2 linked regions of the Caenorhabditis elegans genome follow. The protein of the gene in region 1 purifies or fractionates together with the protein of each later gene. This does not show direct contact. Each region holds a gene or a part of one and is shown on either strand. Other genes may lie near its edges.

The links.
Region 2: the proteins of mltn-7 (region 1) and madf-8 fractionate together in Caenorhabditis elegans (co-fractionation; one large-scale study listed by BioGRID). This does not show direct contact.

What each region holds. Positions count from the first base shown.
Region 1 is NC_003283.11:368,478-374,347, reverse strand, and holds mltn-7 (MLt-TeN (mlt-10) related), read right to left. Parts: upstream 4,016-5,870; 5' UTR 3,991-4,015; coding exon 3,927-3,990; intron 3,495-3,926; coding exon 3,164-3,494; intron 3,108-3,163; coding exon 2,594-3,107; intron 2,222-2,593; coding exon 2,119-2,221; intron 2,075-2,118; coding exon 1,956-2,074; intron 1,907-1,955; coding exon 1,736-1,906; intron 1,674-1,735; coding exon 1,506-1,673; exon of another isoform or gene 1,357-1,505; coding exon 1,156-1,356; exon of another isoform or gene 1,103-1,155; coding exon 548-1,102; downstream 1-547. Other genes in the region: mltn-6 (MLt-TeN (mlt-10) related), read right to left, coding at 5,260-5,814.
Region 2 is NC_003281.10:3,648,078-3,652,854, reverse strand, and holds madf-8 (MADF domain-containing protein), read left to right. Parts: upstream 1-2,022; 5' UTR 2,023-2,107; coding exon 2,108-2,114; intron 2,115-2,158; coding exon 2,159-2,265; intron 2,266-2,545; coding exon 2,546-2,608; intron 2,609-2,655; coding exon 2,656-2,783; intron 2,784-2,833; coding exon 2,834-2,961; intron 2,962-3,007; coding exon 3,008-3,200; intron 3,201-3,250; coding exon 3,251-3,403; intron 3,404-3,818; coding exon 3,819-3,942; 3' UTR 3,943-4,063; downstream 4,064-4,777. Other genes in the region: gsr-1 (Glutathione reductase, mitochondrial), read right to left, coding at 1-280, 337-808, 859-1,216, 1,272-1,526, 1,845-1,879; Putative potassium channel regulatory protein unc-93, read right to left, coding at 4,080-4,157, 4,207-4,303.

The sequences.
Region 1 (5,870 bases):
GAGACTATACTGTTTGGAACCAAACTTTGGATCTCACATAAAAACGAAATATTATAGTTAAACAGCAAATTCTGAACTTATGGCATTCAGTGTTATTAACTAATTTTAATTTCATTTTGAATTTACAGCTGAAATGATATTCCTAAAAAGTTAAACTGTAAATAATTAATACATTTTCAGGCTCCAAACCCTATCTATGAATATATTGACGCCCCTGAAAAATTGCAAAATTTCGTTATTTTCCGAAACTACAGTAACCCTACAGTATCACTATATTATCCCAGTATCACCAGCACACCTACAGCTCGATTCCTTAATATCACGCGTTCTACGCTAACCGGTCAAAATGTTTCCTGACTCGATATATCTACAAAAGCTCAAAACTCAATGAAAACAAGCATTTATAGGCAAAATTACCTATTTTTCAGAGCATAAATCGGAGTTTGCGTTAGGAAAATTTTGCCATTTTGCCGTTTCGCCGGCTCAGCATAACCAGATTTGTTCATTTATTAAACTCGTTATTAAAGTTCTGAGTACAACTAAAATATCACAAAGAGCTCAAGAAAGACGGCGACAAAACTGCGGTAAACAGTAAACCATCCGACAAAACGATTGGCGACAAAAAATACGGTGACAGAACGAATGCATTGACATACGGAGGTGACAACACGAATGGTGATAACACAAATGGTGATAATATGATAGGTGATAAAGTGTTTGGGACGCCCAGAAGGGGAGATAGACAAAAGGGATTTAAGATCAGCGGGACCATGACGAGAGGACTCAGAATGAAGGGAGTGAGGACGAAAGGGGAGAGGATCAGTGGATCGGCGACGGCTGGGGAGAGGATTAGTGGGGACAGGGCTAGAGGGGAAAGGATGATGGGACTGAAAATAGTGGGGGAGAGGATGATCGGGGCAAGGACACGTGGTGAGAGAATCAGTGGGGAGAAGATCCACGGGGAGAGGATCAGGGGGCCCAGGGCCGATGGGGATAGGATCAGCGGGGAGAAGACGAGTGGGGAGAGGACGATCGGCTGGGATGCTGTTTTAGGAGCCAACGTTATCCAGGTGAAGAGGAGAGGGCTCAGCACTACATCTTTCTGGAAATTTGAAAATTTTTATAGTGAGTTGTCCGCATCAATTCCCGGCCGACCTGTCTAGCAACTTTGAAGGCTTGCTCCTCGCGCGCCATCTGATGAATATTATTCTCTAAAATATCTGGAATATCATTTCTTCTCAAATTTCTGTAGTTCTCATAGGCATGGGAATCGTTGTACGGGGAGCCTGGACCGTAGAACTCGGAGATTTGCTGGGAGCTCATGATTGCGTAGCCAGTTGAGTTCATCTCGTGCATCTGAAAATTTCATATTCGCGCGCGTGTATGCCGGCCAATCAGAGGGTTGCAGTGAGCGTGGTCAACTACGCTGATTGGTCGGCGTAGTCATTTGCTTCGTGCCGTAAATCTACACAATTTCCTTTTTTTTCTCATAGTGCCTTCCTGACCTGAGCTGCCGACATCGACTTGTGCAACTTCTCCATTGAGTCAATTTTTGAGGTCTTATAATCTCCATACATCTCTGATACATTCTGACGTGTGAAGTACATTGGCTGCCCATTTTCGTTTGAAAAATGCTTACGGAACGCCTCCATCTCTTGTTTTCTCTCGTCGAACTTTAAAAGTTTGATTTCAATTATTTTCAAATTCCAGTCAAACTTCACCTATGTAAACTCACTCTCATTTTCTCCACGGCTTCTGTCACCCCTGAAGCTTCTAGCACAAAGTTCATCCAGTCATCATGCCCATTTTCAGAGAGAAACCTCATCGCTCGGGATAGTGAAAGCATTTGGTCAAGCTCGGAGCCGGATTCATGAAGAGCAAACACGGAAGGGGAGAGTAGGTTTACCTGGACACTTTTTTTGGAATTTTTTTTTTCTGAAAAGCATGGAGTCTACCGTATCATTTGCCTGCTCATCCGGTAGAACACTCATAAACTGAGGGGACATCAGTGCGATTTTCCGGTCGTCGAAGTTTGAAACATTTTGACCGGTTAGCATCATTCCTAGCTTTACACCTAAAATGTGAAACTAAATATCAGATTTTGAGATAGGTTATTACCATCTCTAATCATCATCAACGGCTTCTTCAATACCTGCTCCTCCTCGCTTAATTTTCCAGTGGTGTTTGCAGCTGAAATCTCTTCACCAATTGAATCTAGGCCCTGTAAAATTGCATTTTTGTAGTTTGTAGTGAGAAATTTTATTTCTGAGAAACTAGAATTTTAAAGACCTTATGGTACAGTATCAATCCAAGTCAGTGAAGGACTATAACTTTCTCCCTAACTTTGACAACTTTTTGCAAAACTTTGGTTACTGTTTGTAGAACTTTGGTATCTTTCTACAATACTTTGAAAATTTCCTGCCAAATTTTGGACACTTTCCGCTAAACTTTGGCAACTTTCTACCGACATTTCCCAACTTTCTATGGGAGTGGTTCATCGCAAACATAGATCAAACATAGATCAGTCGGCCAAGTCACAATTTTTTTCAAAAATTTATCGGGTACTTGGTACTGGTTCCACTCAAAATCTTACCGCTCTTCTGAACGCAGTCTCCGGGTTCAAACCAAGCATCTTCATAGTCCTTGAGTATTTTGAAAACACGTTCCGAAAATCCTCCTGATCCTTTTTCTTCTGCTTGATCCTATTCAGCTCATCTTTAATCTCATTGATCACAGTTTGCCACTTTTTCTTCGGCTCCTTCTCCTTATTCTTATTCTCCCTCACAATATCCGTCAGGGTCTTTGCTATCAAGGAGAACGGCGACGTCATCTCCTTCTTCCCCTTCAGCTCATATTGCTGCTTCTGCTGAACCACACGTTCCTTGTCTTCTCGGTATGTTTCGGGAAGATCTCGTTTTGCTCTGGCTCTTCTCAGCTGGGATCTTCGAAACTTTAACTTTTTAAATTTTCGAATCTTCCGTCTCTGATCATCTAGACGCTTGAGAATTGTCACCACACACTGCGCGTGCTCCGTGATCGACTTGGCCACCTGCGTGCAATTGTTGTGCTGGGCGATGTGGCGGGGTTCTAGGCGTTTATCTTTTAACCTGGAAAATATAATTTCAGATTCACGGGTGCACCTATTTTGAAAAGAATGACCTACTTAGTGCTCATCAAGGCCATCATAAAGCCTGACGCCGCTTGATCCACCCATTTTTGAATCAGTTGGTAGGTGGCTTCTTCGGAGATCTTCACGATGGTCTTGTTCCCGTCATGTGTCATCTCATTTATATTCAAAACTGGAGGGTCTTTACTAATACCCTTCTTATAATCATCGTCTACAATAAACTGCAGACTTCCATTGTGTGAGGCTTTCTCTTTTTCTACTGCTGTCAGGTTGAGAAATGGAAGGAGCTTAGAAGGGATCGTTCCTTCTGTGAGTTGGTGCTTTAGACGGAGCACACTTTTTTGGATATCCGAGGAGGAATTTGTGTCTGCAAAATTAAAATTTATTTTTAGAAATAAGCTAGGCAAAACAGTGAACAAAGTTAATTCGCGATGAACTTTAATCCAAAGTTATGAAATTTTTTTTTTGGCAAATCTACAAAACTGCTCATATCGGGGATATAATCCAAATTTTTGTAATAAAATTTATTATGTACATATATGGTGAAAAAATGTTTGATAAATCTGAAAATAGTTATACTTTTATTGAAAAAATTGCCCCTATTCGAAAAAACAAAATTTTCAGCAATTTCCAATTACTTTTATTATATAAGCAACTTTCATACACAGTGCCAGGTCTTATTCAAATTTTGCAGCAAAAAATTTAACACTTTTATATTAAACACAAAATGGAGTTCTCATTATAAAGTTCTATAGATTTGTTTATTTTTTCAAACAAAATCATTTTTCAAAACACTTACCTAAACCATAAGCAACACCGAAAATAAAGTTCATAGATAAAACTAAATAAATCCATCGGATCATAGTCTCCGACAAAAAAATTGTGAATGATAGCTATCCCCCAGTCATTAGCCAGATAGCCGACCCTAATTCGCAGCTTGTAACATACTCGTTACCCCCAACCCTTTTTCTTCCGAAAAAGAGTAGAAATACCAGTTGGATACTAATGTGATCTGGATATTTATCCTTTTTTTTGTGTATGCCGAAAAATGAAAAAAGTGAAAAGGGGAAGTGATAAGGATGAAAAGATAAAACAAATAGATAAATAATAGAACGATGGATGAACTTTTTGGTTTTGTGTTCTGATTTGAGGTGCAAAATTGTTTTTTTTAATAATTTTGTGTGACAACCTTACACACTTTTCATTAAAAAATTTTAATTTACCGCCAAAATTATCCGCAAAAATTCGAATTTACCGCCAAACACGTGGTGTCAAAGTGCCCCATTTGCGTTTGATCTACGTTGATCTACAAAAAAGCGGCAGAGTTCTCAGCTGATTTTGCATGGTTAAGGAAATGCTGACGTCACATTTTTTGTGCAAAAAATTCCCTCATTTTTTGTAGATCAAACCGTAATGGGACAGCCTGACACCACGTGGCCATAATTATCCGCAAAAAGTTGAATTTCCAATCAATCATTTTTCCAAAAAATTTTAATTTCCCGCCAAAATTCTTCTCGAATAATATGAATTTAGCTCAAAAATGTTTCTTTAAAAGATTGAATTTCTCGGCAAAGTTCGTCCGAAAAAATTAAATTTGAAGATTTTTGCAGAAAAAATAGAATCTTCCGCCAAACTTTTCCGTAAAAAATTAGAATACCCAACTACAACTTTTCTCGAAAACTTGAATTTCCCGCAAGACTTTTTTCTCAAAAATCTTCAATCTCCCGCCAAAATAATTTCGGTAAAAATTTAAAACTCTTTCTCAAAAAATTTGAAATTTCCGCCAACCTTTTTTTCAGATTAAAATTGAAAGTCACTCAATGGTCTCGTAACGATGGGGAACCCACAAACGAAACCTACAAACGGGAAACTGTTTGTTATATTGTTGTGTGGTCCTGTGCACACCAAATGTTTTTTATCTATAGTTTGATCTATGCGGTCTGTCTGCCGATATAGTGTTACCTACACCCGTCCCGCCTGTTCTCTTCCCTATGTAGGAGGCGATTGTAAATGTGTCTTTCTAGTTGCAATGCCTATTTCTTCTTGTATTCTCTCCTCTTCATATTATTCTTATTAATAAATTATTTAATTATCACTATATTATGAGGACACAACATACAAGTGTGAACTATTTAAAGGGTGCTTAACCAACTTGGCGACAGCACCGCAGTGAAAACTGCACCATTTGATAAAACAGCAGGGGACAAGGCATAAGGATTCAGCACAAAAGCTGACACAAATGGAGGGGACAAAACCAGCGGTGATAGTACAAAGGGGGAGAGGATCAGTGGAGTCAGAGCATTTGGGATACCTATAAACGGAGAAAGTGCAAATGGGGAAAGTACCAGTGGCGCCATAACAACCGGCGATAGAATAAATGGCGATAGAATGAATGGAGACAAAATAAACGGGAGACCTACTCCGGGAGACAAGATGATAGGGACCATGCAGAGAGGGGTAAGGATCGCTGGAGACATGATTACCGGGGATAGAATTACAGCGCCAAGGATACGGGGACTGACGAGGACTGGCACAAAAATCCATGGGGATAGGATGACATTTCCGTAGATTGACGGTGAGAAGATGATTGGGACAATGAGGATAGGCGATAAGATTAGGGATTGGGAAGCTGTCACGGGATCGTTGACTACTGAACTCAAGACCAGGGGGTTTAGGACGATGTCTTTCTGAAATTAACAAAGTAGGGTATTTTTGAAGAATGTACACTCAAAATAAAAAAAAA
Region 2 (4,777 bases), on another chromosome or scaffold:
CGCATAGTAACGAGCTCTTCGGCAGAAGTTGGGTGAATCGCGACAGTCTGATCGAATTGTTTCTTCGTGGCGCCCATTGTGACAGCAACAGCGAATCCTTGGAGCATCTCATCGGATCCAACTCCGAAAACATGGACTCCGACGACTTTCTCGTCTTTTCCGACACAAACAAGCTTCATCGCGGCCTTCTCCTTGTGCTTGGTGACTGCGAACAACATTGGATTGAAGCGAGATTTGTAGAGGGTAACTTCGTCTTTTCCGTACTTTTCAACGGCCTCAGCTGAAATTTTGGGGATTAAATTTGACACAAAGAATTAAATTTTAAAGATATTATACCTTCCGTGAGTCCGACGGTTCCAATAAGTGGATGACTGAAAACCACTGTGGCAATGTTCTCATAAGTCAACTTATTATCAGTTTCACCATTGAACAGACGATGAGAGAGTCGACGTCCGGCAGCAATTGCGACTGGTGTGAGAAGGAACTTTCCAGTATCATCTCCAACAGACAAAATTCCTGGAGCAGATGTGTTCTGGTACTCATCGACAATAATATGCCCAGATTTGTCGGTTTTCACTCCAACACGTTCCAGATTAAGCTCTTTTGTCAGTGGATCTCTTCCGATGGCCCAAATCAAAGTCTGAACCTTTTCGATGACTCCAGTCGTTGTCTTGATTGTCAAAAGACCATCATCTCCTTTGATTACTTCTGTGACTTGAGTATTTTTGTGCAAGTGAAGTGGATTCGTTTCCTCGTCCATATCAGCAGTAAGTTCATCGCTGAGCATTTTGTCAAATGTGCGGAGAACCTGAAAATTATTTAGTTAAACTTGAAAAGTTTCCATGTTCCTCATGGTACCTTATCGTAACGAATAAGAAGATGCGTGTCTGAACCAAGATTTGCGAGAACTCCAGCAATCTCTACGGCAATATAACCAGCTCCAACGACAACGGTCCGGCTTGGCAGATCTTCGAGATCGAAGAATCCGTCGGAATCAATACCGTGTTCGGCTCCTTTGATGTTTGGAATGGTTGGCTTTCCTCCAACAGCGATGAGCGTGTTCTTTCCACGATACTTCGCTCCGTTGACCTCAACAGTTCCGTCTTCTGCAAAAGTTGCACGTCCTCGAATATATTCGACTGAGGATCCTTTCAGTCCACTCTCATAAAGACCATTGAGTCGTTTGATGTACTCATCTCGCGATTTTTTGATCACTCTAAAAAACAAAACAATTAAGAATTATTTGATTAAACTAATTAAAAATTACTCACTTCCAATCAAACTTGTTAAGCGTCACATCAAATCCGTAATCAGCGTGGTCCCGGATGAATTCGGCGTGGAGAGAGCAATTGTACATAACTTTCTTCGGAACACATCCAACATTGACGCAAGTTCCTCCGAGACGTCCAGATTCGATGAGCCCGACGGAAACTCCGAATTCACGAGCACGCCGAGCAGAAGCGATACCTCCAGATCCTCCACCAATCACCAAATAGTCGAACTCCTTGACGCCAGACATGATCGACCTGGAACTCGAATTTTAATAATTAAAAGTTGGAAAATAACAGAACTTGTAAGAACATCGAAAGAGAGGCGCGATTGAAAATTCGCAGAAAAATCAAAGCTTTATTTCTTTTCAGTCGCGAAGTGGACTTTAAAGTTTATTTTTCGAATGAAATACTCAAAATCGACTGACGCAAAAACGATGACAAATTACAAAGATAGCAAAGCGCGACTACAAACATGTGACCGCCCTTCTTCCGAAATTCGAGAGGTTTTATGGAAATTTGACTCCACAAAGACTACAAAAACTTTTTTTAAACCAAAAAGTAACAATTTAATACCTCGAAGTGCTCAAAATGCAGCGAAATCGGAGCATTCAGAAGGGTTCACAGAAGTTTTTAGACATTTGATCAGCAAAAAATAAACAAACATCAAGGACTAAATTGTGCGCCCAAGTTGCAAATAGCTCGCGCCCATTTTGCGAATTGAAAACTCCGCCCCTTTTTCAGCGCGCGAAGAGTTTAAAATTTGAAATTTAGAAGTTTTTTTGGAAATTAAAAATTCCGCTCAATTTTCCAAACGGATTCGCACGCTGGAATAAAAAATGACAGGTAAATGTTGAAAAATGGTCTATATGAATCTCTCAATTTTTCAGAAGTTGAAAAATCTCGAAGCGGCCGAATAGTGAAGCGAAAAGTGTTTGCCGATTTTCAACAACTCGATGACGACTTGAAATCAATTACAACGGAGGAATTAAGAGAGGTAAAAAAGACAAAGAACAATCGCGAACGTTCTTCGCAGTGTCGGGGCAATGACAAATAGAAAGAAACACTGATTTGGTCAATAGTGGAGTGCGCAGAGAAGAAAGACAATTTTATTAGAAAAAAACCAAAAAGAGCGCGAGTGGGCAATAAAATTAAAATAGTGATTATTTATATGTAGTTTCAATCAATTCAATCAGGCACAAGAAAAAACTAATAAATGATGACAAAAGTTTCACTGAAAACTAGAAAAAATGATGACAAATCAAACATTTTTTCAGAGCGCCAGCGAATCGAAGAAACTTCGTCTTGGACCAACTAGAAGATCTTGTCGCAATATTCCGGTACAGCTTTTTATAATATTCGTTTCAATTCTATTCAAAGATTTCAGACAAATTACGAAGAATTAAAAGCGAAAACTGATGCCGGAATTATTCCCGAAACAGTTTATTATCGAGCATCCAACAATTCGATGTACATTCCTTCAATTACAGCCGATATGCTCAAGAATGATGGAAAGTATGAATTAAAACATTTATTATCAGATTTCTTTTTTATCCTTTTTTCAGTGATTTGACTGTGCAAACACGCTCAGACAAGTATTTTAAGTACAATCGGGTCCGCCAATCTACAAAAATCGATTACGCGGAGCCTGAAAAAGTGTACGATATTATATATGCAGTTCGGAAAAGGCCTAGTAAGTCAGGAAATCAAGAAGTTTTTCCAAAAATTTCCCTTTTTAGTCCTATGGGATCAACGCCTGATTTGTCATCGGAATTCGAATTTGTCTCGCCGTGCTTGGGATCAACTCGACTTGGAACTTGGAATAGATGAAGAGTATCCATTGGCTCGGCGTAAACAAATCTGGAAGAGTAAAAGAGATTATTTCGTATCAGCGGTGAACGCCGCCAATCTGAGAAAATGGATTTATGCAGAGTACGGCTGGAAAATTGAAAATAATGAAATGAAAATAATAATTTTTTCAGTGCATTAGAGTTCTACCGTCCAATGATAAATTTCCGAACGACATTCTGTCTCCGTCCAACCGTCGCTCAGCCATCTCAAAGTGTTCATGATAAATTAGTATTGGCTGATAAGAATATCCAATGCACACCTGGTGATAAGAAAAATGTTCTGACGTGAGGAAAATTCCCAACATAAAAAGTGTACTCCTCGAAGAGAAGTTTGCATTTTATTTTTAAAAATTCACAACTTTTGGGTATATTTTGATCTATTTTGAACCATCTTCGCCAATTCTTTTGCTGTAAAAAACTTCAAAAAACAAAAAAAGTATAGAAAACATGATTAAAAAATCCTTTTTCTATTTTCAGCAGGAATTTTGAATACAGCTCGACGGGTGCTAAACCAATTTGGGTCCCGTCACGAAAACTACTGTAACTACAAAACGGTGCTCTAAACTCGAATACAGAAAAAATTAGCTCAAACAGTTCCAAATCAAGAATTTTAGCCGAAAACTGTGTTCTTCTTCTTCTCGAGGAGTACACGACTTGCGTAAATCGACACATACGGCTTAATCCTATTAAATTTTTCCAGATTTCTTCTAAAATCTCTCTACGACACCGGAATGTCGAGTCCCGAAATGATGGCTGAGCATGGACTGGAAATTCTGAAAATTTTCAAGAAAAACGCAGAGTCTAGCAATTTGAAACTCAATTAGCCACCCGCCACGTTTTATTAATTTTTATCACATATTTCTCATTTTACTGCATTTTGTTATACTTCTCGACTTTTCGAATTTTTAATAAAACATAAAGTACGAATTTATTAACTGATTTTTTTGATTTTTAATTATTTTCATTCAAAATCTGAATTTCTATCATCCAACGGTTCCTTCTCTGGACATGACGTGTGAATTAAGTGATGCCAAAATTTCTGGAAAATTTAAAATTAGAAAAAATTAATTTCTTCGAATCAGCCTTACAATAATGTGATCGAAATTTTCAATTGCTAAAAATCCGCACATTCCTAAAAGTAGCATGAAGAATGTTATCAGCAAATATATTTCAACTGTGACGTGTCTGAAAATTCAATTATTTTTCAAGTTAAATCTAGCGTGGCCGGGAAATTTAAAAGAAAACTCGGCCACCTGTTTTTTTCACGGCCAACATTATTATGGAGACGCAAAAAATGCGAATAGTCAGATTGAGGTGCAAGCGTGCTCCACGGCTAAATGCAAATGTCCTGCCCCCAAAAGCTGGGTCTCGTTAGGTATTGGGGACCAAAACGCGAATTTTAACGTTTTAAATGTTTTTTGTGTTTCTAAAAATGTTTTTCGTCATTTTTTCCACTAATTATGTTTAAAAATACGTTTTTAGTTTAAAAAATAGTTCAATTTTTAAATTCCACTTTATTTCATCAATTTCGGCGAAAAAATCCTTACAAAGAACGGAAAATATAACAAAAAAAACGAAAAATGCATGGAAATCGGCGAAACTAATTGAAAAAGTTTGAATTTACAAGGTCCCACCACAACTACCTAACGAGACCCTACT